2 linked regions of the Drosophila melanogaster genome follow. The protein of the gene in region 2 purifies or fractionates together with the protein of the main gene of each other region. This does not show direct contact. Each region holds a gene or a part of one and is shown on either strand. Other genes may lie near its edges.

What was found.
Region 1: the proteins of san (region 2) and CG31612 purify together in Drosophila melanogaster (affinity purification with mass spectrometry, with the first as the bait; one large-scale study listed by BioGRID). This does not show direct contact.

Annotation. Positions count from the first base shown.
Region 1 is NT_033779.5:21,787,947-21,799,663, forward strand, and holds the start of CG31612 (uncharacterized protein), read right to left. Parts: upstream 7,502-11,717; 5' UTR 7,448-7,501; exon of another isoform or gene 7,300-7,447; intron 1-7,299.
Region 2 is NT_033778.4:11,355,336-11,365,414, reverse strand, and holds san (separation anxiety), read right to left. Parts: upstream 4,710-10,079; 5' UTR 4,591-4,709; coding exon 4,583-4,590; intron 4,457-4,582; coding exon 4,133-4,456; intron 3,901-4,132; coding exon 3,678-3,900; 3' UTR 3,544-3,677; downstream 1-3,543. Other genes in the region: Gr47b (gustatory receptor 47b), read right to left, coding at 2,146-2,286, 2,349-2,510, 2,574-3,515; ix (intersex), read left to right, coding at 5,330-5,896; CG12384 (uncharacterized protein), read left to right, coding at 6,412-6,457, 6,991-7,079, 7,144-7,299; iotaTry (iotaTrypsin), read right to left, coding at 7,914-8,672; CG13202 (uncharacterized protein), read left to right, coding at 8,943-9,088, 9,150-9,249; deltaTry (deltaTrypsin), read right to left, coding at 9,321-10,079. UniProt on the Drosophila melanogaster protein: N-alpha-acetyltransferase that acetylates the N-terminus of proteins that retain their initiating methionine. Has a broad substrate specificity: able to acetylate the initiator methionine of most peptides.

The sequences.
Region 1 (11,717 bases), on a different chromosome or scaffold from region 2:
TTTAAAACGGGGACTTTCTTTAGTTTTATTATTGGCTTTTATTAGCAGATATCAATTTAATTCAATACAATAGAGAATGCTATAGTCGAGTTTCCCGACTATCAGATATGTGTGAATCCAAACGCGAAATTTGATCATTTTTCTGGAATATCGATAGATATTGGGAAATAAAATGAGAAAAAATTTATTTACAAGACAAAAAAATTTCGAAAATTGGTTCAAGAGTGGATCGGATCTAGAACATATATACTTTATATAGTCGGAAACGCTTCCTTCTGTCTGTTACATAATTTTCAACTAATCTAATATACCCTTTAACTCTACGAGTAATCTAACGCCCTTAGCCGCCAAACCGTCACGCCCACACTTTTTAGCAATTTTAAAATTTTTTTTCATTTTATTCCACAATGTCTGTCGATATCCCAGAAAAATTATGCAATTTCTCGTTTACATTCACACTATCTCAGGATAGTATCTGATAGTCGGGGAACTCGGCTATAGCATTCTGTCTAGTTTTCTATTGTAGCGTTGGGAATGATTAAGTTTAATATATTGTATTTATGGAATAAGAGCAATATAATTTTTCGTTACAAAAGGTGATATCAAAACATTCTTATGTAAATGTGCTATCGACTCTTTTTTTATCTCATTAAAAGATGTATTTGTCTGATATCAGAAGTTAAAATTAATTTCAAATTGTTATCTAAACTTCTTAATGCTATAACTGAAAACAGTTCGAATGAACTATGTGTTATCAATCATAGTTGGGGAATGTAAGGAGCGGTATAGTTGAAAATTTAAATTATATTGTAATTGTATTATTACTTTGGCCTAAAACTAAACAGTATTTTGTAAAGCTTTATAACAGTGTTGGAAAATAAGAAAAAGGACAGGTTTCCGGACAATAGGATGGGTCATTTTTTCCGCAAGATTAACGTTCTTTAAAAGATTGCAATTCATTGAATTGATATACTTTAGTATATCATACCTATTTAAGAAGTGGTTTTCTTTCATAAATAATGCGATAAATAATTATTGCCTCGCTTACCAAATGACGCCCTATTCAAAGAATTCAATGTCGCAAAACCTACATTTATTTACCCGCGCGGATCCAGCTTAAACAACAGATTCCGATGGGCTTGCACAATTCGATGGGCTTGGGGACATAAACAAAATATCAGGTGAGCCTTTGTGGACGACAAATTAATGAGAAGCTCATTAACGTACTGAGTACGGATTACGGATTTGATTGAAGGTCCTTTGGGCTCAAGTACGCCCACAGACGCAGTCAGGTTAAATAAACTGACAAGTTACACACATCGCCACTGGCTGGAAACATTCATATATACACATGTGTACATATAAATACATACATATATCTCGCCCCTATTTGCAGTGCGCAACGCCAACAACAGAGCGGGAATATTCAGCGAAAAGTGTCATTATGTGTACACACAACGTAAAACGACTCCACCTACAAAAACTCCTCCTTCCAGAACATCCGGATCCGAAAGCCAACAACGGCAACGAACCGACGGCGCAAACAAGGAGAAAATGTGTACATACAACAATCTCGTTATGTCGGCATTATCCTGAAGAATTCTGGTTCGTCCTCGTCACTTGCAGCGCCATAAATCACTCACACGCTTGGCCCATTTCCCCCTGTCGCTCTGTCCCTTTCACCCGCTATGTGTGTCTTTTTCTGGCCTGCTCTGTCTATCACATTGTTGTTTGTTTTGTGTCCCAGTGTGTTTTTGTGCGTTTGTATGTGAGAGGCGCGTGCCCCGCTCTGATGTCGTCCTGCTTACACATAGACGTAGTGCCTTTTTTTAGTGGAATCTTTCCAGCGATTAAAAACTTGAATACACTGAAAATAAAGTCAGGTAGATTATGTAGGGTTGATATTATGTATGATGATATTATTACTGTTTAAATGTAAGCTTACTTCGCTCAAATATTATTAAAAAATTTTTAAGGGAAACTTAAGGGTATTTACAAGCCCAACAGTATTTTTCCGACATTCGCACATTTTTGTTGTTCAGCATTTTTATCCCTTGGTTTGCCAGTAATTCACCCCGCGGTGACATTTTGGTGTGACAGACAAGACGTGTCCTTCGTCCTTTTTGCATTTTTCTCTGTCGGGTGTCTGTGTATGTGGTAAGTTTATCGTTTTAAATGTTGATACAAGCCCGGGTTGTGGTCCGCTGCCTGTCCTTAGCCCAGTCCGCATGGGGATAATAGGATGTTGAGTAAATATTTAAAAACTCCCCTCGCCCACTCGGTTCTAACGGCACATACCCCTCGGGCTATTGAGGAATCGTAGGCGACCTCCAAAGTTTGGGGCTAAAACTTTGCCGGCTGTGCCCGCTCTTTTGCGATGGGCGAAAAAGTTTAGGGGGTGTGAAGCAAAACGAGCCGACGCTGGCACCCTCTAATCCAGTTTTTGGCCCCGACTCTTCGGCCAGGACACTTTCTGGCATAAATCATTTGCATTCAAAATGAGACCAATGAGGAAAGCCTGCGAATGAGCGTCGAAGATGAATGCCGCAGAAACAACAACAGCACCACCAAGGGGCCGGAAAAATCCTTTCAATTTTCGCACACATTCAATTTTATTAATTAAAACAATTTTTTCTCCCTTTCTCTTAGCTTCTTTTTCTGTTTGTGATTGGAGGAGCTTGGGCAATTAATTCCAAACATTCAGGACGCTTTTTCTTTGTTAAGTTTCGGCATTTTTTGTAGTGTTGTTTGTTTTGGGCGCAAATTATACTCCGCTTGCCTTGCGCGAAATAAAATATCACAAACAGGGGCAGCCTCCATAAATAATGGGAATTTATGCCAGTTCCAAACATACGCACCCGAACAGCCTCATAGACCTGAAACAGAAAAGGCAAAAACCAACATTTCCTCCGAAATTACCATTCAATCATTTTGTAATTGCCAGCTCCAGAAAAAAAAAGAAATAGGTTCTAGATATCTTACTTCATTTATTTGGGCCAGTTCTTAATTTCGCCCATCTGTTCTAATAAGCCTTTCACTCCATTTCATTTTGCATTTAAATTGGATGCTTTTTCATTACGGTTATTCAAGAAGTAGCCCAAGGAGATTCAAGTTCATTGATTTTAATACCTGTTACTCGTAGAGTTAAAGGGTATACTAGATTTGTTGAATTGGAGCGATTCCCTGTAAGGTGTCCATAATTATTGATCAGGATCAGTAACCGAGATCTCGGGAACTATTAAAGCCAAAAGCATCCAAATTCTAGTGGCGCCCACGTTGTGCAACCGCGTTTTAGAAACTAAACTAAACTGTCACGACCATACTTTGTTGTGTCTTATCTTTTATTGTTTGTCTTGTCAATTTCCATCATTGAAAAAATGTGTGCATTTTTTTTATTTTACTTGGCCAATTTTAAATTTTTTCGCTTTGACTCCCACTATTTGAGAAACGGGTATCTGAGAGTCGAGAGACTCGACTGTAGAGTTTTCACTTGCCTTGTATAAAATAAGAAACAAGTGAGTCGGCTGTTAAATACCCACTACTCTTCCGAAAATACAAATCCCATGTCTAGAGGCTTGTTTAGATTATGTTTTGATTTTATTTAAATCAATGTTGTGGCTAAGGCAACAATTGACCGCAAGAAAATGAGCATGGATTTGTAAGTGTGAGAATCGGTGTAGCATTACCAGTATCTGCACGTTCTCTAAAAAAAAATCTTGGTGTATAATTGAGTAATATGCTTTGATATGCTTTCATATTAATTCTGTTTAAATCAAGATATAATTATAATCTTAAAGCTAATCGTAAATATATAAAAGTATTAAAATGTATAAGGCAACAAAATATATAAATCGCTGACATTTTCCAGAATATCCGCTGGGCGCCAAATCTCATTTGGACAATTTTGCAATTTTAATCAGCTATCTTTATATCTGCACGGGGGTTGGCCTGAAAGACAAGACCCCATTCAGACACTTTCGCTTTGTTTTTGTACGGCTCCCTTGCTGCTGTCCGTCATAAATCTATCAAGTTTAATGGCCGCCTCAGCGCTGCACATAATTTTATGTATTTTATGCTGCAAATTGTTAGCCAGCGCGCACACAAACACAAATCAGAAGGAACAACCCTCGGAGAGCCACCCAGCCCAAGAAAAACCCCTACCCACCCACCGTACGGATCCACCCCAGAGGAAAGGCGAAGACGAGAACACGAATTTCCACGCACATCTCCGAAGACTCACAAATTTCATAAAGTGGCAATTCAATCAATCAATTCTGACAGGGGGTGGCCATTGGGGTGGACTGCACCCAGTCTTGGCCACCTTAACCGTTATGCTCACGTACACAATCACACAACTCAAACTGATTTTGCTACGGATTGGAGAAGTTGGAGTGGGTGAAAAAAAAAAAACACGAGTGCTTTGGAGGGAAAAACAAAAGCGAGGGAAGTTTTCTTAAAATTCCCTTTGTCTTGTTTTTAACAGCCCCGCTTTTTCGGGGCAGTGTTTTGCTTCGAAGGCAACGGACTTGTCAGTCATTTAGTAAGTTTAGACCCAAGACCTCTGGCAGCTTAAATATATTTTTAATTGTCTACCGAGGGGCGCCCTCATCCACCCGTCTAAAAACACCACCCTTCTTGTAGGCATTTCCAGGATTCGCAGCTCTCCTGTTATCCTATATTATTTGCGTTTCTGATTCGCTTCTGCTTTGTTGTCCGCTTTTCGTCCTTGCTATTGTCAATGTCTTGGGCATAGGATACATTTTGAAAATAGAAAAGAGCATGAAGGACATGGTTGACAGGGTCGTTTAAACAGATATGTCCTTTGCGAAAGTACATGGAAGATAACGTCTTGGTAGAAATAAAATTCTATTAATTTTTATTTTTATTTTTATTAATTTTCTTTTATATTTTTCAACTAATTATTTTATATTATGTTGTTATTTTTTTCAACTAACTAAGATGTTATCTTATATCTTCCATTTCTAAAAATTTCAGAACTTGAATTAACTAACTCCTAACTTCTGAGAGGAACGATGGCCAGTGAGCGTGGCCAATCTGACACGGAATTGAGTGACATTTCAATGGAGTTTGGTGAGTGAGTGAGACAAGGAATAGCCATTTCTTCATTGTTGTATTCACTTTGGTTCGGAAACTGGCCCTGCGCAGAAGTTTCGTAAAAATGCTGCTCTACAAAACAATAAATCAGCGACAAATTTTGCAATTTAGAATTTAAATGTTTTCGATTACCAATCGAATACATTTCAATACATTAATTTTAAGTCATTTTTTATGAGCTCCTCAAATGTTCATCGGCTTACAGGGCACCTTACCTTCCAATTTGTATATACGTATGTATGTATTTATGGCCAAACTATTTTCCATCCGATCTTTGGTTAATATTTTTACCCGTTACTACTTAGTTTATATTTCTTTCGATCGATATGTCAGAAAAATGTTGAAAATTCTAATTCGCACTTTTACCAGCTTTGTACCTTGACTATAGGCTGGCTTAAATTCGTTCCATGCAAAAGTCCGTTTTATTAATTTCCAAATAGACCAAAGAGGATATATGTTTGCGTTTATGTTTAGGGCTCCTTTTAGAAATAGTTTGGATATATGAAAACATTTTGAAACAAGGAAATTCCTTAAAAAATTTTGTTTTTTATGTTTTATAGCTTTTACATACATAAAAAAATTGTTTTTGCATATTGATAAAAGTTGGAGAAAGAAAAAGGGAAAATAAGAACAAAAGAAAATGCTATAGTCAAGTTCCACTACTATCAGATTAAATGTCATCATTTTTTTGTCATAGCGATATTTATTATATCGATTTTGGCAAATAAAATGAGAAGATATGACAAAATTGTTCTAATATGTTGTCCTGGCCGTTTTGTGCGTTTTGTAGGTAGTTAGGAGGGGCGTAAACAAAATGTTTTTGGTACAAAGAATCTATAAAAATTGGCAATTGACATTTCTATTACAATGTCTCTAGAATCTGTATGCTTAGTCTCCTGATCTCGACGTTTATAACGACGGGCATATGTATATGGCCAGATCGACTGGGCTATCAATGAATGATACATATGTACATATATTGATACATATGTATCAATGAATTAAACCTGATATAATAGCAAATACAGCTCCTATAGATAACACATAATGAAAATGAGCTACTACATAAGTATCATCTATAATAATATCTACTTATGAATATGTACATATATTCTTTCAACGAATCTAGTATACCATTTTACTATAAGGGCAGAAAACTGAAAACATTTTGTAAAAGTGTGGGAGTAAATTTTTTGGCGGTTTTGTGGACGTTGACGTGGGCTCGGCAACATTCTGCAAAAACCTTGATAGCTAAAAATTTCGGCTTTTTTAGTTTCCGAAGTCTCGACCATCAAACGGACCAACTCTTCTCTCTATGTCCTTTTTAAACAACAAGTAATAGGTGTAGAAAAAAACAAGTTTTCCGTGTAATTGTTTATTTAATAATATATTATCCTAGGGAGATGCAATCCTAGTAACATTTTTTGAATAGCAAAGAATAATATTTTAAATCATGTACATGTACGTTAAATGTTTGAAAAAACTTAACAAAAGTGAATTTTTTCGTTACTATGTATTCGTCGACGCATTGTTGGTTTACCTTTATTTTTTATTTCATTTTATTTTCTTCCGATTTAATTTGTAAAATGATTAATTTTTTCAGAAATGGCGACAAATGGAATTAAATTTGTTTCTCCCATAAAATTCGAAGTAACTCATCCATCTTTCGAAATCACTCAAACATGCGAGAGCGAAACAGAAACCGGTCGCGCTCTTGTGCTCACGAGACAATAACTGTTCTTGCTCTTTCGCTTGTCGAATTTTCGAAAACAGTCTGTGGACAGAGGCGTTCGGATGAGGGTCTCGAACTAGGAAATTGTTACAAAATATATGGTAACATTTCGCTAATAATAAACAACGAAATATTTATTTATTAGTTCTTAAACGTACTCACAAAACATAGGTACCATATCAACCACTAATAGATTCTTTCAAGTTGTTAGCTTACACGAAAATGTTTTAACCCCCTCTTGAGATGTACGCCACTGACCCTACAAACCGCAAAACAGCTGATTTTTGTCGGTATGCAAGCAAACCTTTAATTAATGACAATTTAATGGCCAAAAGCAACCAAAATGTATTTACCAAACAATAATTCCATAGTATTTACCTTAGTTCAAGTCGAAACATAAATATGTTCATTTTATTTTATAATTTTGGGGTATACATATGTATATTACGAACCTGTGGATCGGAGTGCAAGTAGCAAGGTTGGATTAGAGGAAATAGTTTTTTCTCATCAAAGCAGAGCTTAAACACTGTTGCTGATGCGTATTTTCATTTAAATTCGATAGAACAAACTGTAAAACACAGATAATAAAACATAATTCACAGCGCACTTTTCACCAGCAAGCGTACGACGCACGCGACGAGTTGCTTCTCCCACAAGAAGTTCGAAATTCGAAATCGTTTGTGCAACTGAGAGAGAGAAGTTCGAATATTTGAGTGGTTTTTAAGTTCGAAAAACACCAGAGATTTCTGATTAGGGGGTAATTTACTTACAATTTTTTTTGATTGGACTTCGTGATCTTTTTCATATATACATTTATCGAGCTATAATTCCTAACGGTTAAGGTCTATTGGGGTCTCGAGGTTAATACGAACGGATAGATTGAGATGGCTATTGATCTTAATAAAGAATATTTGGATCGGTTCTGTCTAGTTTTTTTACTCAACTCTTTTTTACTTCTTATTTAAATATTTTAAGGTGTAGAATATGTTTCGCAGTTGTGTCTCATCGTTTGTGTCCCAGATATGTATGTATTTACAGCTGTGTTCAATAAAATAGCAGTGCGAGGGAAACTAAGAAATACAAAGGTATTTTCCCTTTTTGGAATCGACTTTTTATTTCACTTATTTTTGTAAAATGGAATGTGTATATAGGAATAAAAAGAAAATCCCAATAGTTTTTCATGTTATCCTTTTCTGCTTAAATTCTTGAGCAAATTCACAACTTTTATGCTGTTCATAAGAATAGCAGTGTCTGGTTTTGTCCAACGTAAAGTCCCGAAAATATCAATATTTTCTAACGTGTGTTTGGTTCGTATATTTAAAAGAGCAATAATTAAAAAAAAAATAAATAAAAAATATTGTATATTATAGTAGATAGAGAAAGAAAAGAATGTTAATTCACCAATCAAAGAAAACATTTCACACATATTCTGCCTTCAGTTGTGTCCATAGAAATCGGGGACACAAGGCAAATCCATTTATATTGCGAAATCAAAACCATTTTTCCATGTCATTGGAATCCTCCACTAGAGGTGAACTAATTGCGTGTTCAGCGCAAAATCTTTTCGATTTATCGCCTCAGGTTGATTTTATGCTTCACATAGACACCACACAGCCGCTGCACATCCACATATTGATGCAGCATCCAAAGGACCGAAATGAGAGGTGGGCTCCAGAGGGCAACGGAGCGAATACCCGCTGATTTATACGCTTCAATCCCACATTTTTGTTTCTTCGGCTGCCATTTAGCTAAAATATTTCATATCCGAATTGCATCGCCGTCTCGAGCCTTCGCTCCTTCGTCTTCGTTTGGCTGCCAGGCAGAAGACTAGAGCGGGACGCACTGATGGCAGAGAGTGGGAGCGAGAGGGTACGCAATGGACAGCCGCTTCCCCGTAATTATGCGATTTGTTATTCGAGATTTGAGGCGATTGTGACTGGGCACCATGTAGGCGAGGAGGCGCTGAAGAAGCAGCAGTTCCACCGAGAAATGATTTAAACTGCGATTTCAATTCTGGCATTTCTGATTCGCCCAGTGTCTGTGTTGCAACTTGAGGCCCTCCCATACCATCTCCACAATCCGCCGCGCGGACCCCGGACACCGCAAGCTGAATTCGACACGCCAAGATCTGAGTATCCCAAATGATAATGCTGCGGCCATTGCATGTGCGATGGGCAGTCAGAGTCGGACGGGCGGACTGACTCCGGACCAACGGACAACATCCATTCGCTGACTGACTGACGTACTTGGGGGCTGACTGATATGGGTGGAACCAAAAGGCTCACAGAGCGGCGAAGTCTTCTTGCTGGACGCCCTGCAGCAGACATTATAGCCAACGAAAAATATTGGTTATATATTACAGTTTCTCAATATTTTAGTCAGATTCCGAAACCAAGCGAGAAAAACGAGTCATCGCTACCCTACATCAGGACAGTAAATATATGTAAGTATACTAGATTGTAAGTGTACTAGATAAGAATGTAGAATCAGTTTTAATCAAATGAAGTATATCTTGTGCCCTTCGTACACCCCGTGGAGCACGACTACAGCGTTCGCTCTTGTACAGTAAAAGGGTATACTACAAAAGATTCGTTGGATGAAGAAAGCATTTTCGACTATATAAAGTATATAAATTATTGATCAGGATCAATAGCCGAGTCGATATAGTTATGTCCGTCTATCCGTATGAACGTCGAGATCTCAGGAACTATAAAAGAGAGAGCATACAGATTCTAGACCCAAAGCCGCAGCGCAAGTTTGTTGACCCATGTTAGTGGCTTACGCCCACAAGCCGCACAAAACGAAATTTCGAAATTCGAAATTTTTCCATAAATTTATAAGTCTTAAAAATTTCTATCGATTTGCAAAAAATGTTTGCCATGGCTTTAACGCCCAAAAGCCGCCGATCCGCTCACGCCTACACTTTTGAACAATTTTATAATTTGTTCTCATTTTATTTCCCAATATCGATACCGATATTCCAGAAAAATTATAAAATTTCGCGTTTGGATTCACACTAGCTGAGTAACGGGTATCTGATAGTCGGGGAACTCGACTATAGCCTTCTCTCTTGTATTGAATTAAATTGATATCTGCTAATAAAACGCAATAATAAAACTAAAGAAAATCCCCGTTTTAAGAATATGAAAGTTCCCTACATTCTAAAAAATCTGGGTAATCCATAAGTCAATGGCAAATAATAACAATAAAAGTTTTTCCCATACCCAAATGCTATATGTAAGTTAATCTGTTTAATTTAATCGCTTCATATGTTGTTTAAAGCCAAGTATTTAAAAAATATATAAAAAAAATTAAAACTAAATTAAAAATCAAGCACCGGCATTTTTGCTTGAGTGCTTGACCTTGTGTGCGATCTACCGCTGAGTGTTGGCCGGGCTTGATTGCATGGCCTTCGTCTTCGTCTTGGTTTTGGGCTTAGTCTTCATCTCCATCGCCGTCCATCGGCATCGTCCATCTTGGCCGGAACATTGTCAGTTGGTTTCGGTCTGGCATTGGGGCTTGGATAGGGGCTGGCTTTCTGAGATTCGTTAGCTCTGGGAGCAGAGACTTGAGGGCATAAATCACTCTCGTGGCTGGACGATCGCGGATCGAGCGTTGAAGGGGAGGGTTACGGTCCCCACTTCCTTCAGATGCTTCTTCTCCCGTTGATTAATAATTAATTTGTGTTGCCTGTTGCCAGTGATTGCCTGCGGTTGCGTTGTCTCTCGCTCAGCTCACCTGACGACCTGACTCCTTTATAATGAACGGTTTGTGCACCAGTGTGAGTGTGTGTGCTTGCGACTGTAGCAGGACATTCGTCGTACATCATCCCATCCCAAAATGCGCGCCCAGTGCTCGTCGTTCGATGCCCGGCCTGATTGCTTTAGCTCACTGGTTGCTCCTCCAGTGCATAAATTCGCTGACTCCGAGCTGGTTCAAAGGAAGTACAAAAGGAAGGAATACTCAGACGGCAGCGGCATAAATTAAGCGAATGGTGTTTATACACTCGACAATAAATCAATTAGCAAATTTGTTATTATTATGTTCATAAATCTTCACATCCACTGAAATCCACGATTAAAATATTTTGAAATGCTCGAACAGCACCAGAGGATCACTATTTAGTGATCGCATCTCGGATCTTCATTGTGCAGGCTTCTAAAAAGATGAGAATTGGTGGGCGTGGAGCGACTAGCTGTAGCATGCAAGCGAAAATCGCTGACTTACTTCGCAAAAAGGGCCTGATAATTACTAAAGCGTTCATTTCCTATATCATTTATCATATATTTTTGAAATATGAATTATATAGACAATTGAAGTTGGTAATATTTTTTTAAATTCTGTCAATTTTCAGTTGTGTGGCTTACTCAGTTTCTGATTAACAATCAATCAATTTCGCGTGCGCCATCTACTGCTGCTCCGATGAATGAATCGACTTTCGGCCTCGCATGCGTCACTTAAATTCAGACAGGTGACGCCCACAACTTCTGTGCTTATGCGCCATTATTAACACGTCATAACTTAGCACCAACCGCAGCCATAAAGGTTATCGAGGGAGGAAACCATCGGGCCACTTAGTCTTCGCCAGGCTCCAAAAGTTGCCATCAATCAACGCGGAAAGTCCGTCCAAAGGATAAGCAAATGACGGGATGCAAGTGAGTCCTCCAAAGGGACGACAGGTGCCAGGTGGCGGGATGTAAGGGGCAAGACCCACCTCAACCCAAATGCCGCTTATTTATGCAGAGCGCGCGGGATGGGCGAAGCCGCAAAGTGATTTTAAATGGGACCCATACACCAAAACACTGAAACACCGAATCACCGAAGCTCTGAAACCATGAATCCGGAGTCACAGGCCGTCAAAGCTCTGTTG
Region 2 (10,079 bases):
TGCTGGTGCTGCTGCGACTCTGGTTTTGTTGTTGCGAACCTACGACCAGTTAACTTACCTACCGCTTTGGCTCCTTCCAAACTAACACACAAACACACACACATTGGCGAATATTTAGCCAGGCGACGACGACGGCGCCTGTGTGTGTGTGCTTGTGCGCTTTGGCTGCGTGTGTACGTTTGTATCTCTTCAGCTTGTGCGGGTTTTTTGTTGCTTTTATTATAAGTATTTTTTCGCTTTTCTCTCGTCTCGCCTCCTCTCCCTTCCTCACCTCTTCGTTCCCTCCTTCTATCTTCCTGCCCGCCCCCACTCGCACACGCAGCAGCGACGTCTCCGCCTCTGTGCCCCTCGGTCCCTCTCTCACTCACTCTTTTGGCACAGCACAAGTCCTGGCGGCCGGCTCTTGCTCTACCTCCCCCCACCACCAACTTCCCCCCTCTCTTCAACCATCGCCACCCCCTCCCTCTGGCACCCACAGCTCCCGGTTTGCCAGTTCCAAACGTCATCATCACCGCCATCATCATCAACATCACCATCATCATCACCAACAGCCAGCCCCCAAACAGCAGGGAAAGCAACAACAACAACAAAGGCATCAGTGGCAGCAGCAGCAGCAGCATTTAGTGGAATGATGGGGGGCGAGGGAAGTGGAAAGAGGGTGGGTGTGGAGAGGCGGGCGGGTAGTGGGTCGCTGGGCGTTGTGGCGTTCGACGTCGAAGGCCTGGCTGCCAGTCTGTACGTGTGTGTATGTATGGGTGTGTGTGGGCCGTTCCTTCCCAGTGTGTGTGTGCATTTGTATGTGCGCTGCTGTATGTAGCCGTGCCGCAAAAAGAGAGTGGGTGGGGTGTTGTGGGGGTCTGTGGTGTTGTTGCCTGGAAGGGGGCGGGCTACGGGCCATGGGCTATGGTCTATGCCAGCTAGCTGGCTGGTCGGAACGGGGGGTGGCGAGCGGGGGAGAGCGGCCTACCGCCGCTGGTATAGCTGTGCTGTTGTAGCTGCTGTTGATTGTTTTTGTAGTAGCTGCCGTCGCTGTGTGTTGTTGCCTTTCGCAAATCGATAAACGATGTCCGGGCTGCGGAGTAGGCGAACGCTTTGCGTGTGCACATATGTATAACATGCATATACATGCGGCCGTCAGTATATACTACAGACATACATACATATACATATGTATGTACATACAGCTATATATGTAAACACTTCAAATATACATATGTATATACTCAGTCCATTGGTATGCGTATACCTAATGTAGGCGATTTTTATATGAACACCGCCTAACGGAGTTTTGATGCAATCTGCAACCAATACATATTTACTTAATTCTACACCCACCTGATTGACCCCCAGGAACTATTTTGTATTTTGTGTTGACCCAGCCAATTGGCATATTTGCAACATTGATTAAACCCAAACTAAAGTTTTCTAAAGACATCCATTCAATTCGAAAGATTGTACCAGCATAAGTCGCTTTGATATCAACTGACAGTATTCATATACTTAACTGTTAAATGTTATATTACTTATGTATGCATGTATGTATGTATTTGTCAAAGGATCGTTATCAACATTTAAGCGCAAAGGTGATGTATCTAATCCCCTTACATATATGTTAAAACCAAGTTCAAAAACGTTAACAAATCACAGAATAACAAAACTTCTATGTAAAGAATGTCTTGAATAATGGCCTTTTAGTAAAATTAAGCTAACTGTTTTTTTTGACCTCCACATTTGTTTCTAAAAGCTTCAATTCTGGTAATAGGATGAGATAACAAATCGATTTCTTAATCATTTCTTACTATGCATCCTTTTGAAGTCCCATTGCTGCAGGATGAGATGCTACCATTTGCGGTATCGACGAGAAAAATTTGTCATAACATTACCGCCAAATCAAAGTACCATGAGTTCTCTATCGACTTTGTGCCGGCGATCAAAATCCTCGTCGACGGATTTGAGTGGCAATCAGTACCGAAGGAGGCGCCAGGACCAAAACTGTCAAACGCCTTTATGATGATCTGAGTGTGTTTTAATTCGGAGCTGAACTATAAAGAAGTAATTAACCAAACCGTTTTATTGCAACGTGTTAAGATACGTAGTATACGTAATAAAGATAAGCTAATTTTTTTCAATGTAATTGCAACTATTTCAATCCATGTGAGTGATGGGTCCCATTGGGCCCACAATGTCCACATCTTTGCCCGATGTCAACTGGTGATCTTTGATTTGCTGTTGTTGAAATAGCAGCTGCACCAGGATAATCACATAGTTGGCCATTCCGTTGTACACCTGCCAGGATAAGTAAAAGATCAGATCAGGCAGGTTTCCGAGCGGCTCATGGTATCACCCACCAGGTAAATGGTAGAAACACTTAGCAAGGTTGTGCTGCCCACCATTGCCGCTTGCCGATTGTGCATGCGCCAATGCTGAAAGTCCTCCGTTTTCCGGCGAGCCACATCCTGTCCGGAGAAGTATCGCGAGTATTGGCTCAACAAATGCATACAGTTGCGTTTCTAGAGAAAACCAGATAGAGATGCGAAATGCAAGTTTCTGCATACGGAAATAAGGTCACCCACCTCTCGCAGAAGTAAATACCCATAGGTGCTAGTAATGACCACTTTGTAGGTGTGTATGGCCACGTGCAGCAACATGTACACGTACTCGGGATCCCAGGGCTCTCTCTCCAGCAGCTTTTGGCAGATAACGTACACGAAGCAGGTCATGATAGTGAAATCATAAAAGATACCAGCAGCTGCGGCGAATCCAAAAACTCCGTTTAACTCCGCCAGGAGAAACGAACAGCGCTTGGACATTTCGAAAAGATAAGCAATCCTTTCGTGCACCTCTGAACTGTCATCCGCTTGGTAAAGTTGGTGAAGCAGCTGCTGCACCAGACGCAGACGAACCCTTATAAAGTCCATAATACCTATGTGCACGAAACCCAGCAATCCTACGGAACTGGTCAGCAAGGTGTAGGTGAAGGCCATCAGCAAGGTGGACGGTATGCCGCATGTGCAACGCGTCGTATCGAAGATCAGTGAGATGGAAAAGGAGAAAAAGCAAAAGCCGACAATCACAGTGCCATACCAATACTTCAAGCGAGCGCGTCGATAGTTCCACTGAACATGAGGGAACACCATCAAAACGGAACGATCGAACTCTTGCATCCTAGCCACGAGTTTCAGGTGTCTGTCCTTCTGCAAGTCCAGCGAAAGGCAGTACTCAATGTAGGTGACCGAGCAACTGAGGCACTCCCAGGTGAATATTGCCTTGACCAACGGGCTAAGGTGTCCAAACATGGCAGCGGACATCTCGGGATCCCTCAGCTTAGTCATCACGGTAGCCATAAAGCAGATAACCATAAAGGAGCGCGTGAAAAGGGCATAGCACACAGTCCACCTGTTTGAAAACGCACCTCCACGATCAGGACTTCTCACCCGGATTGTGACCAATCCCCAGTAGAGCAGGAGGCTGTACAAGTTTCCGTAACAGTAGACAAAGCCATCGTCGCGTTGCATTGCCCAAGTAATGTTAGTTTCGACTGGCCAAGCCGTATAGAGCTATTTATTCCCGCGCAGGGGTAATTATTATTGATTACACATAGATATGATCGGACTAATTGAATACATCGTTTTGGCCGCCTCTACATGTCTGTTTGTTATACATATTGAAATTCATCTTTAAACAAATGTGAACTGTCGTGCTTTACTACGTGAATTTGAGTTCGCGGTGGTGCTGGTGGCGGTGCTGTTTGAGTTGGGTGCAGTGCGGCGCAGAGTCTTTTGCAGTACATGAGCGTCCGCCGGCTCGATGCGCTTATAGTATTGCTCCTTGGTGTCAACAATCTCGAAACCAAACTTCTTATAGAACTCGATGGCTCCGTTGTTGTTGATTTGCACATGTCTAAAATTATAACCAGAATTAAAAAACATGATCTAAAGTATTTTCGAAATAAACCTATTTCCTCCTTAGCCAAAAATATATATATTATGTATTAAATGGATAGATAAATAAGCCAGATAGGCCGGAATTAAACTTTCCCACTTAAATAGTTATAGGTTACATTAAAATCGAACTACATTGCTCCCCAGGGGTGTGTCGAAAACACACGAATCTTAATGATAAGTTTTCTTACAGAAAAATGCTGTCGAAGTTTCCGTCCTTCTCGGCGAAGTTCATAATGTGCTCGAACATAACTGTGCCGATGCCCAGGCGCCGGTACGGGGAGAGGCATCCTAGGGTCATGATATACAGGCGCCGCTGGTTCTCAGTGTTGTCGATGCGACAACAGACGGCGCCCACTACAATGTCGTTGTAGTAGGCCAATTTGGCCAGTTCGCCGGCCTCCAGGACGTCCACGTAAAACTTGTCATTGTAGGAGACCGGGAAAACCACGGTGTTGAGCTTCTTTAGCTGCTTGATGTTGTGGGGCGTCACGTCGCCCAGTTCGATGCTGCTCCTGCAAGCGGGAAAGGGTAGGAACATGGGTTAGCTTTTCCGACCCAAGCGGCACTTTTAGGTTATGATTCCGGTGCATCTCCTGCAGTCACAATCCTCCAATGGTCCGGCAAAGATAGCCACTCACCTAGTCATGTTGTCTGTACGATTTCTGTTGATTTAGCAACGCGCTTTGCGCCGAAAATTGTAATAGGAAAATGTGTTTTAAGCGCCTCAGCTGTTCCTGATTGTTCGGGTTGCAGGTCGCAAGTTATCGTTATCGGTTATTGACGCCGGCCAGAATAGCTATTTTATAGCAAGATAAATTTGATTTTCATATCTAAGACTACTAACTAAACTTTTTTGCTCACACTATTTTAAGCAATAAACAAAAACTAATAATTAATTAAAACAGAACTAAAAACACTCAATGCTAAATGAAACATTACACATCGTTTTTTATTTGGGATACGCATACACTAAATGAGATGACAGCTCTTTCCGGTCGGTTGACATTAGCTATCACTTGTTTGACAGTTAGAATATGAACGAACACTTTCAATAATGGCCAACTTTTAATTTCAAAACATATTGTTACCTCTACTTTTTCGTAGTGAGTTATGCTATAGATACACTTTTATGTATGTAACAATATGAAATATTGGGTAGTCCTTGTTTCTAAACTAGTTTTTTTTAAAGAATTTTTTAAATTTACAGTACAACTTTTGTATTTTTTAGCAACTCTTAGTTATATTTATATTATATTCGATATTCGCCATGGGTACGCGAACGCAAATGTGAGAAATCTCCTAACGGGTTTTTCTTCACAAAAAGAAAACAATTCGCGGCTGTTCAATATTTTTCTCCCCCAATATCCATCGATTTCGAGTGCCAAATGAATCCCAACATGAACATGATGCCCATGTCTGGGCCACAAATGATGCAGGTAATGCAATCCTCGCCATCGGGACCCCCAGGACCAGTGCAGCATCAACAGCAGCAGCCTCCACAGCCACTGCAGCAGCAGCAGCAGGCCGAAAAATTGGACAACATTTCCAGGGTGAAGAGTTTGCTGGGACCACTGCGGGAGTCCATGTTCCTCACCATCCGGTCGAGCGCCTTCGCGCTGCAGCAAAACAATCTCGCGGACAACTTAAAGAGGGACACGGGTGCCCACCATGTTCCGCGGTTCGACAAGCACTTGGAAGACTTTTACGCCTGTTGCGACCAGATCGAGATCCACTTGAAGACGGCGATGCAGTGCCTCCAGCAGCAGAACTCCTCCAATCACTATCTCCCCGGTCCGGTGACTCCCATGCGCATGGAGACCTTTATGCCGGACAACGCCGGCCCCATTTCGTATCCCACTTACTTGAACACGGTCCGCGTTCACATACAGTCCGCCAAGGATATACACGACACTCTGATTAGTGCCGCGCAGAACATTTCGCAGGCTGATTGATAGTTGTAGTAGCATTAGGTTTTATTATTTCACACGCATGCACTTAAGTTAAGTAAATAAATATTCTTAGATATAAGATAACAATGATCTTTGTTTGGGAAAGTCGAAATGGTGTTACCATACTCAACGTTTTTACAGGCGGAAGAGTAAAAGGGAAAATAATAAAATAAATATAGCTTGTGGGCATTAGTTTGCATACAGAAAACATGTTACACAAAAACATCGAGCAATAAAATAAATTCTAGTTGTATTTCGTGTACCACTATTTGTGAAAATGTTTGCAGTGAGAACGCGTTGCAGCAGTCGATGAGTAACTGCGCATCCAGTGAGAAAAGGCTAAAAATTCGATAGACAACAGTCGGACGTGTCACAATTAGAACGCAAAAGCAAAACACAGCGGTGCCGCGCATTTATTTACAACTAGAAAAGCGGTAAGGTCTCATTTTGTTGTTAACTGTGCACAAGCCGTTAATTTATTCAACTTCTCCGACCCTCAGCTTACTAAACCAGAACAAATGGCAGATGAACAACCAAATCTTGTGGCCGGACACCCACCTGCATGTAAGTGCACTTGCATTGGTGTGTGTGTGTCGATGCAGACGAGTTTTCGATTTTTGGCAGCAATTGAATCTTATAAGAACAAACTGCCTTGTTGGCAATCAATAATGCACCCAATCAAATCAATTGCCAGAATATCTGCGCCCTTATCAGTATCTTAACCTGTTTCGGCCAAAGCTGATAAGTAAACAAATAAGCGAACACAGGCAAGCAAACGCATAGCTTTCAAGAAATGTATGTTTGTATTTGTACTTTATGCTGACGTCACGTGCAATTCAAACAATAACGTTAACTGAATAGGAAATTATTACTTTTTAAAGTAGCTTTTTACGCCTTATATTTTATCCTTAACGTTTATAAAATGCCATTGACTTAATCATCTTCGTACAATGTAAATAATAACATGTCAACTTTGGACGACTAGTATGGCTTACTTACTTTTTAATAGCCGCTTTACGTAAACACGGCTTGAATCGGCTACTGTGGCCAAGCCTCATTTGTTGCCAACCCTATATGTTTTTGTTATTTAATTATAGTGAAGGCTGGTGGCATGCGAATTGTGCAGCACAAAGCGCCGACGGCAGAACGCGCGCCCAAGGATGCAGAGGATTGTACTGGACTGACAGTGAGCTATTGACATAAGTATGTGGTTTTCAATGGAAACTAACTTATCCTCTAATCCTTTAAAGCAACCCATTGCCGTGAACTCCGGCTCTGTGAGCGGTGCCCCCGTCAAGGGCAACACGGACTTTACGCCCGCCTCCGCCCAGGTGGCCCACTCGCCCAAGCCACCGGCTGCAGTGCAGCAGAAGCCCCAGATCCACATCCAGCAGCCACGGAAGTGATGCGTACTCGGGCGGAATAACTATTATCATTATCTAATCTCTTTGATCTTTTGTTGAAATTCTATGAGTCCTCTCAATGGTATTGAAATCGCCTTTGAATGCGATATTTACTCTTTAATTTTATATATGCATTTGCCACTGCATTCCATAAATTAAAAATGCTGATTTTCTGAGTTAATATTTTGTAATAAACTTTATCCCTTTTATAGATTTCAAGACATTCGTTTCGAATGCGTATATCTTAAATTTTTACCTAAACCAACTCGTGGTGTTCCTGGTGAGCTTGGATGCGATAAAACATTGACCAAAGAAGACATATAACACTATACATGAAATTCGTGATTTCCGATGTTATCTATATTGCCCTCAGATCTACTGGAATTTGCTCTACACGTACTCTTAAAATTCCCAAGTGCTTATTCAGCACAACGTGTATATAATTAGGGAAACTCTAGCACACTAAATGCCCCACTGAACTTCGGTGGTCCGGGGTGCGGACTTCAAATCCGTAGTCGATTTGCGTCGAAGTGGTTCGATTCCACCTGGGGGGCGAATATTAATGGAGTTGCATTCTTAAACTTTTTTAAGCATGGTCTTTATTTTCCAAAATCTGTTCATATGGCATTGGCCGCCTTGACTATCCAAGGTCGCAGAATCGCCACATCGGCATAGACACCGGGGTAGTTGTCGTCCGCACACCGGTAACCCCAGGATACAATGCCCACCAGCTGGCTACTGGCCACCAAAGGACCTCCAGAGTCTCCCGTACAGGCATCTGCATCAGTGCTGGCAGCGCAAATTGTTTCCTCGCCCACAAAATCCGCACCGTAGCCAAACTTTTGCGAGGCACACTCTCCGCGATCGATGATCTGCAACTGGGCCTTCTGCAAGCTATCGGAGAGGGCTCCATTATCAGTGTGGCCCCAACCCGTGACAGTGACTGTTGTTCCACCCGATGGACTCGTACTGGCTAAATTGATGGCTCTCGTTGAGAGGCCAAAGGTCAGTGGTGTGGACAGACGAAGCACGGCAATGTCGTAGTGCAGGAAGCGGGAATCAAACTGCTCGTGGACTTTGTACGCCGCCACAGGAACCAATGTGCCGCCGTAGTTGTGATTCTGTGCACCCACACGCACCTTCATCAGCGTCACGGATCTCTCATGTAGACAGTGTCCGGCTGTGATGATGATCTCCTTGCTATAGATGACTCCGCCGCACTCGTGGCGCGCACTGATCTGAATAGACACCTGCCAGGGGGCGTTACGAATCAGCTGATCGCTTCCGCCAATAATTCGTCCAGTGGCCTCGACATCTGACGCATCGCCGAGCAGCAAAAGGACCAGCACCGTAGCCACTATTCCGTAAACAGCCATTCCGAAAGCCAAGTGCAAACTGCTCGTATTTGTCCACGAAACCCCTTCATGGCGTGCTTTTTACTAGGGCTGTAAAAGTTAATCTTCGGCTAATTGATGGCTTATCGTTAGTATATATTACTGATACCCTTGATTGGTCTTGGTCAGCACTGCTCCTTACCCGGTTCTCTAGTTCGATATGAAAACACGTTGCCCAGGCAACTATTGCCAAACAAATTTATTTAGATGTTGTGAATATCGAAAAAAGGACTTTTGAGAGATAATACCGACATGGATAACTGGAAGATAACCGCGGAGGAGCTTATCCGTCTGCGGGAGAGCTGCTTGCAGTGCATCCGTGATGGAGAACTCTATGAACTGCGCAACGATGCCAAACTTAGGGCTGTTTATAGCACTCAGAACTACGAAGAATTCAAGTAAGCAATACAAATAAACATGTCTCAAATTGAAAAATGCATGTAAGCCAATTGCCATCAGGAACATAGTGGATGCGGCTCATCTTCGTCCAGTGACCAAGGGCGACAAGGCGAATTTTAAGACGAAGAATCGACTATGGAACTCGGCGGCCCGGGATTAATTTGTTAATTGCGCAATAAAAATAAAAGACCAAGTTTATAGTCAGAATATACGTTTTATTTCGCACACTTTTTAGGCATTGCTAATAACCCAGGAGCGGAGGGCAGCAACATCGGCATAGACACCGGGGTAGTTGGAGTAAGCGCATCCGTATCCCCAGGAGACAACACCGACGAGGACTCCGCCGGAGACCAGTGGGCCACCGGAGTCACCCTGGCAGGCATCCTTGCCGCTGGCAGCAGCGCAGATCATGGTGCTGCGGATCTGGCTACCGTATCCGTAGGTGGAGGAAGCACACTGGCTCTGGCTAACGATGTTCACGTTCACGTACTGCAGCTGGGAGGGGATGGAGCTGGATCCGTAGGAGAGAGTGCCCCATCCGGAGACGGAGGCCGCAGCGCCGTTGGCGGGGTTGGAGCTAGCCAGACCGATGGCCTTGATGGTGGAGCTGAAGGTCAGGGCGCCGTTGATCTTGATGATGGCAATGTCGTTGACCATGGTGTTGGCGTTGTAGCCCTCGTGGTTCTTGAAGGAGGACACAGAGAAGGTGACACCGCCGGAGCTCCAGTAGCTGGATCCAGCACGGATCTGCAGGACGGAAGCGGACACGGACTGCAGACAGTGAGCGGCGGTCACGATGACGTTGCTGGAGTAGATGGATCCACCGCAGGAGTGGCTTCCACTGCGCTGCAGGGAGATCTGCCAGGGGAAGCTGCTGATGGTGGTAGCAGAGCCGCCGACAATGCGGCCATCCAACTGAGGCAGGAGTCCCTCAGGGACGGTGCCTCCCAGGGCGCAGGCTACTGCAGACAACAAGATCACGAACTTCAG